2 linked regions of the Canis lupus familiaris genome follow. The protein of the gene in region 1 interacts with the protein of each later gene in a biochemical or structural test. Links are inferred from orthologs where the notes say so. Each region holds a gene or a part of one and is shown in the gene's direction. Other genes may lie near its edges.

Region 1 (3,816 bases):
CTTTGATGTTACTATCTTGTATGGTAATACGGTTGGTATAGCATTTATGGTAATTAATCAGAGTCCAGCAGACCTATAATTAAAATTGCATATGTAAGACAGGATACTGTATTTGTGCTAAGCAGATGATGTGTGGAAGTTATTATGTGGGTAGAAACAATTTAAAAAGAATAAATTGGTTTTATCGATTGGTAACAGGTCAAGAACATGGACTATTTGCCTTTCCTGCCCCCATCCCTTGTAAAAAAAAAAAATCAGGTGTTCTGTCTTTTTTGCTTTGTAGCGTGGTAGTATTCTGAACGATGTCTGCCCCATTCATCTGACATTAAATTCTTTGTCTTTTTTTCAGTTGTCCTTATTGGAGATTCTGGTGTTGGAAAGAGTAATCTCTTGTCTCGATTTACTCGAAATGAGTTTAATCTCGAAAGTAAGAGCACCATTGGAGTAGAGTTTGCAACAAGAAGCATCCAGGTTGATGGGAAAACAATAAAGGCACAGATATGGGACACGGCAGGGCAGGAGCGATACCGAGCTATAACATCAGCGTAAGTCTCATAGTTTTTAAATTCTGAGAAATAGACTGCCATCAACTGAATTAGCTAACTTTTGGTATTGGAAAAGGAACTTTTTTTTTCCTCTTAAGAAGTCCAGTATTAGGATTTTGAAATGTATTTATAAATGTGTTTTTAAAAATATATAATCTATATATTTAGTTCTTCTCAGTATTCCCTTCCATCTTACCATTGTTTTCTGACATTAAATACCTGTTTCTGTTTTCAGATATTATCGTGGAGCTGTAGGTGCCTTACTGGTTTATGACATTGCTAAGCATCTCACATATGAAAATGTAGAACGATGGCTGAAAGAACTGAGAGATCATGCTGATAGTAACATTGTTATCATGCTTGTGGGCAATAAGAGTGATTTGCGTCATCTCAGGGCAGTTCCTACAGATGAAGCAAGAGCTTTTGCAGGTTAGTGATATGAATTTCATGATATTACAGTGATTCTGTATTTTTAACTCTTATGTCTTACAGTTTTGATACTTTTCCAATGACCGTAATCGCTTACAGTAGTTTTAAAAAGGTAGACATGAATACTCAGCAAGGATTGTTCGGAAAGTTTGTGATGACTTTCTTGCTTAATTTTGAGTCATTAAAACATAGTATTTTGAGTTTTTGCTGCCAAGAGTTGAATATAAATCTTTCTTTCATTTCCTTGGAAGGGGTAGATGATATCTCTCAGTTTATTTTGTGCTTCCTGTCTCTTTCTCTGTTATGTCAGTATTTTACCAAGGCTGCTCTATGTGGGTCTGAAAGACAGTGGCCCAGGGAATGTCAACAACCAACTTTTTTGATTTAATAGAGGGTCTGCCTATAACTTCTGTTTGGAATAGCCTACTAGAAGGCAGCATTCTTGGCTAGTGAAAGTTGTGACTGTCTACTAGTGATTATGCTGTGAATAAAGGTTTTTACAATAGTTTTTTAGTTTTCCAGGCAAGACGCTTTATTTCAAATAATATAGTTAAAGAATTCTAAGCGGATAACACCTACTCATCCATGTTCATATCATAATTCTGTTGTTGATGGAGAAGGACAGTAATGGATGGAAATAACTGAGTATTTGATAAGTTTACTACATTTTGAATAACGTCATTCATTGGTAGTGTATAGATGTAACAAGTATTTTTTAATTAAGGAGGCAATGAAAATCTTTCACTGTTCTTTTTAATATGCTGAAGTGTAAATAGAATGATGCCCTTATTGCTCAAGAAATTGAGGAGGACTTAGGTTATTTTCCTTTTGAAGGCTAGAATGTATTATATCTCTTTCATAAAATTTGACAAGACTGAAGTTTTTATTTCCCTCCCCCCCCCCCCCCCCCCCCCCAGAAAAGAATGGTTTGTCATTCATTGAGACTTCCGCTCTAGACTCTACAAATGTAGAAGCTGCTTTTCAGACAATTCTGACAGGTAAGACTTGAATTTTTAGATTATGCTAGTGGGAATTGGAAGTTTGAAGAATGTAATTTAAACAAATTAGGAAACCTATATATCACACTGAGAATAACTATCATTTGAGAGCTGCTATAGCAAGAGCTGTTTAAAGTACAAAATTAGTTAACAATTCTTCCTTGCTGAGCTTTAATTATCCTAGTTTATTTGGTTTGTAATTAGGAAAAGTACTTTGAAAATAATTTGTTTACTTATATTATTGCTTCAGTCCAGTTATTCCATACTTTATGGTCACAAGTACAAAGTAATGGTTAAAGGCATTTTCATAAGATACTGAAATCCTGACTATGGGAAGATAGAAATGTCCTTTGAGATTTAGCAAAGAAAAGGCTTGCTTTGTTCTGATACATTATAGAAGCAGCTAGGGGAAAACCTATTTTTAAGAATTTAAATGAAAAAACAAAAAGTAAAACTCTCTTGTGATGTAAAAGAAGCAAGGTGTCATCTCTGGAGAAAATCTGTGAGTGATTGCATATGGAAAAGTTTAAATAGGGGATGCCTGGGTGGCTTAGTGGTTGAGGCCGTCCCTCATCGGGCTCTCTGCCTGCTTCTCCCTCTGCCTCTCTCTTTGTGTCTCTCATGAATAAATAAATAAAATCTTAAAAAAAAAAAAAGTTTAAATAAGTAGTGGAAAAAGAACAAAGTTCATGCTGTTTTAAAATTAGATGTGCAGATCAGGTCAATCTTGGATTTCAAGGCTGTATTCATGTTGACTCATATTTACTCTGACTTTATTTGAATGACCAACTTGTCAGCAAGTTTAATCTTAATTCTCTAGTAAGTAGTTTGATGGGTTGTATTAAAGTAGTTTAAAATTATTTTTAAGAACTCCTATTGTAAAGTGTAGGCTTACTATATACCATAGTCTGATACGACTTTCGAACAGGTCTGTATGGAGAAATGGTTAATAAGTTTCCAATTTTATTTATTTATTTATTTATTTAAAAGATTTTATTTATTCATGAGAGAGGCAGACACATAGGCAGAATGAGAAGCAGGCCCCTTGGGGAGAGCCCGATATGGGACTCAATCTTGGGACTCCAGGATCGCACCCTGAGCCCAAGGCTGATGCTCAACCACTGAGCTACCCAAGTGTCCCGTTTCCAATTTTAATATAACAAAATTTTAATGTATTCTTTGTATGTAGTACTTGCATTAGAGGTTAACAGATTTTAACTTTTATTTTTATTTAAAAATTTTTAAAATTTATTTATTTTTGTAGAGAGAGCAAGTACAAAGTAAGGGGGGCAGAGGGAGAAGGAGAGAATCTTAAGCAGTCTCCCAAGGAGTCAGATATTTAACCAGCTGAGCACAAAGGTGCCCTGATTTTTTTATTTTTAATTTTCCCAAGTTTTTATTTAAATTCCAGTTAGTTAACATACAATGTAATAGTAGTTTCAGGTGTAGAATTTAGTGATCTACAAATTTTAACTTTTAAACATCATAGTTCAGACTTGAAATATGTAGAGAATAAAGCCTAGAATTTAAGAGCATGGTCCTGGAACCCTGATTTGTGTTTTAGTCCTGGCTCCTTCAGTTACCATTGGCTCTGTAATCTTAAGCAAATTACCTAACTTTTCTAGGTCTTAAATTCTTTATCTGTAAAATTTAAATATGTTAAATTAAAATCAACATTAAATTAAAAATAAATAGTTTTGTGCTTTTTTAAGAGGGCTTATATTTATAAATACCTTGTGGTATGATTTGACTTAACTGTTATGTTGTGACTCAAAGGTTTTTATCTCTGTAACTCACAGAAAAGAGTTGCCTGTTATTTGAGACATCTACTCTAGACTCCAAAA
Region 2 (3,816 bases), on another chromosome or scaffold:
TATCTATCTATCTATCTATCTATCTATCTATCTATCTATCTATTTATTTATGAGAGCCAGAGAGCCAGAGACACAGGCAGAGGGAGAAGCAGGCTCCCTGCAGGGAGCCCGATGCAGGACTCCATCCCAGGACCTGGGGATTATGGCCTGAGCCAAAGGCAGACACTCAACCACTGAGCCACCCAGGTGTCCCTGGAAGTCGTTCTTGACTGTAGATGTCTTTGGCCAGTGTTCTCAGCCTGTACCAAGTAATTGCTCACGCTTGGGTCACTCCACAGACCAATTCTGATCCCTGGGGGTGGGGCGTGGGCATCTGCAGAGGCCACACCTTTGGTGTGTATTCTTACTGCTTTTGCTTGTTTCTGGCCCCTGAGTGCTGAGGCTGGCCTTGGGGCTGCCTTGCCCAGAGTCTCCTTAGCCCCTCTGTCGTGGGGTACTGGGTCGCTGCTGAGTCTCTGACCTGCCTCTCCTGTTCCCTCCAGCTCATGGAAGCCCTAAAGGAACAGGAGGAGATCAACTTCCGGCTGAGGCAGTACATGGACAAGATTATCCTGGCCATCCTGGACCACAACCCCTCCATCCTTGAGATCAAACACTGAGATAAGGGCTGGCTGCGGCACGGCCTCAGGGACCCTCAGACCCCCAGACCTGCCTGAGGATGCGGCCCCAGCCGGGCCTCACACACACACCGGAAATGTATCTCTGGCCACCCTGTCCTGTGTGCCGGTGTGTATGCGGGGAAGCCGTGCACACAGCAAGGGCTGAACGTGGGGCCGTGGCCGTGGAGGACCTCTGTGCGGTCGCTATCCGTGCATTCTGTGGTTCCTGCGCAAGGACAGACAGTACTGGTGGTGGGAAGGACAGGGTCTGCTATCAGGAGCTGCTGTGATCACGAGAACTGGAAGATTGTGTTTCAGATACTGGATAAAAATGATTCTACCTCTGGGGATAAGGATTAAATCACACGCTAGTGAGACAGGCTCTTTCACCCCACCGCTGTTCCCTCTGGGAGTGGGAGCAGATTGATGATTTTTTCTAGGAGCTGGAATGCCCAACAGCTGCATCCTCCCCAACCTCTTCGGCCACCTCTGAAGCCTAGGTGCTCAGGCTCTGAAAGGAGGAAGGGGCCCTCCCAGAGCCCCTCCCAGGCTGGCAGCCCCCCGTGATGCTTGTGCTCTGTGTGTCCAAAGGACTCGGGCCTACAGAGGAGCTGGCGTGGGGCGACCTTCGTTCTAAGGGTTCTTGGCATTTTGAGAGTTCCCCATACACTTCCCCATCCCTACTTCACCTACCTCTTTCTGTTTGATTTTTAAGACCGTGAAAAATAAGCAGCACTTCACTTGGGTGTACGATGAAGGGATTAAAAGGAAGGAGACAGGCTGGGGGCCAAGGGTGTCTCAAGCAGCACGTATTGGCATTGGGCATCCAAAGACTTGCTTTTCAGGGAGGAGCGTGCTCCCATCCCTGTTCCGTCTCCTTCCCTCTGGCTGCATTTTCCCAGGAGCCCGCAGGTACTGGTGGGCTGGGAGTGGGCCCTGCTTTCCAACTCCCGTTCTCCACGTGGCCTGGGGACAGCAGGCCTCAGCCTAGGATTTTTGGATTCTGAGCTCTGGGCTTGGCTCAGCTGGATAGCAAGGTCCCCGCGTTCCAGCACCGTTCAAAAACACTCTTGCATTCCGATCTCTGCCAGGAGAGGGGTGCTGGCGAGAGACACAGTTGGGGTCAGACATTTTAGGGAAACCTTAGTCTTCCATCCTCCTGACATGTGCTGGAAAGGCACACTCTGGATTTTTAATGTGATCTTTTGTTCTAGGCAGCTGGGAGTAGATATGGTACTTTGAGTTTTACTTTGAGTTTGTCTCAGTTGTATATGGCTTGTCGTTCATTTCTTTAGTCCAAACATGTATGAACTACGTGTAGATAAATATGAATGGTCTTATATCTCCCCCCCACCCCCGCTGCAGTTTCGTGTTGTCTTCAGCAACTCTAGTGTAAAAAGGAAGGTTTAGGCATGTTGGGGAGGGGCATGGAAGGGTGTGCACAGAGAAGAGAGGACAGGAGAGGGTGAGAAGGGGCTTGGGGTCTTGGGTATGTATGTACCCTGTTCACAAAGGTAGGGATTGGCCAGGACCGATCTTCGTTCCATTCCACTCAACCTCTGCTTTTGTTGGCTTGTGTGATTTCTGCTTAAGCATATGTTTGGGATTTGTTCCATGCTACAGATAATGGGGCTGCCTTGGTCTGATCCAGGACTTTGGGGCCACCTACCCCAGGAAGACTAGGGCAAGGGATCAGTCTTCTAAGAGTCTCTCAAGCCCCTAGGATGCTGGTCCCCTTGGGCTCTTCCAGGGGTCTGAGGAGCAGCAGTAGAAAGAAGGCCAAGAGGAGTGGATTTCTTGAGAATATGCTAATAGTAGAGAATGGTACCGAATTGAAGGGAAAGAAGGACCTATCATGACTTGGCTTTGGTCTGGATTTTACTTTGGAAGGAGTCCTACAGAGGCCAGCCAGATCAAGGTCCTCAAGGTCCATGGGGGACTCGCCCCAGGGGTGAACATTTTATACATAAAACTTTATATGTCCTTTAGCTGCACTGGTATGGAATTCCAGAGAAGGTCCCAGAGGCCTGGGTTACACAGTCCCTATGTGGGAGGGAGTTTCTGCTTTGTTGCGGAAAAGGTGGGCTGACAATGTTTTGCTGCCTCCTTCCTGAAGGGGGCACCACAGGACCAGCCTCCCCCAGGAAGCCGGCATCTGAACCGCCCCAAGGGGACCTGGTGCTGTGCATGGGATCTCTGGAAGACCGCCGACTTTAAAATGAGGCCTGGGTTACATGGACTTTGTCTCAAGTTAAATCCAACTTTCTGGAGCCAAAATCATCTTCTAAAACCTAGGCTAACTGGCTTTTAAAGTGTCTTTAGCTGCCCTTCCATGCAGGAAAACAAGCCCCAACGGAGGCACATGGCCCCAGGGCCCCAGCCCCATGGCCCCAGCGCCCCAGCCCCATGGCCCCAGCAGGGGTTCCAGAGCGCCCTAACTGGGGGCAGGTGGGGCCGACCCCTCCCCCCCCCAGTGCTTCCCCCTCCTCTGCATGTTGTCCACGTGAAAGTTCTGCACTTGCCCCTCGGCCCGGGAGCCGCTGGGTTGGACACACGACGCCCAGCTCCCTGTGCATTCCGGCAAACGGAAGCCAACTCCCAGTAGAAGTTACGTTCCACGCAATGCTTGGGACACGCTCAAAATGGGGAGATTTTAAAATTCTGCCACCTGGGCCAAATCCCCAGAGGTTCTGATGCCAGTGGTGTGGGGGTGCGGCCCAGGTATTTGGAAAGGTTAAAGAGCTTCCCAGGTGATTATAATTTAACTGGGTGCCTGGGTAGGGGGGATGCGCTTTGTGTTTTGTTTTTGCTGAACCTGGCAACTCTACCAAGTAGGGATTCGTAGTGACTCTTCCGAGGTTTAGGGGGGTTTCGGGGGCACAGGAAGGGGGGTTCTGCAACAGACCCAATGTCTTACACAGCACTCGGCCATCCTTACATCCAACTGGAAGGCAGAGAAAATTTGCAGAATCAGTGAGTGAGCTTTGGTCAAGTCAGACAAATTATTTTTTGAGTTTTTCCCTTGTCAGAGGGAGATTGCTTTATTTTGACTTTATTTCTGACTTACTGCAAACCTCTTACAGAGCCCAAGAACCTCCCAAAGCACTTGGACCTGAAACAGTGGTTTTCAGCTTGGGCTGTGCATCGGGATAACCTGGGGAGGCTTGGGAACTGTGCTGACTGGGCCGAACCGCTGGCTGCCCGGCCCCAAGATTCC

What was found.
Region 2: the proteins of RAB11A (region 1) and RAB11FIP4 form a complex in vitro, tested with the Homo sapiens proteins (2 studies listed by BioGRID, with this or other methods). The link is inferred for Canis lupus familiaris from reciprocal best matches to the Homo sapiens genes RAB11A and RAB11FIP4.

What each region holds. Positions count from the first base shown.
Region 1 is NC_049251.1:30,630,977-30,634,792, forward strand, and holds part of RAB11A (ras-related protein Rab-11A), read left to right. Parts: intron 1-349; coding exon 350-545; intron 546-780; coding exon 781-974; intron 975-1,891; coding exon 1,892-1,972; intron 1,973-3,816. UniProt on the Homo sapiens protein: The small GTPases Rab are key regulators of intracellular membrane trafficking, from the formation of transport vesicles to their fusion with membranes.
Region 2 is NC_049230.1:41,314,342-41,318,157, reverse strand, and holds part of RAB11FIP4 (rab11 family-interacting protein 4), read left to right. Parts: intron 1-482; coding exon 483-599; 3' UTR 600-3,816. UniProt on the Homo sapiens protein: Acts as a regulator of endocytic traffic by participating in membrane delivery. Required for the abscission step in cytokinesis, possibly by acting as an 'address tag' delivering recycling endosome membranes to the cleavage furrow during late cytokinesis.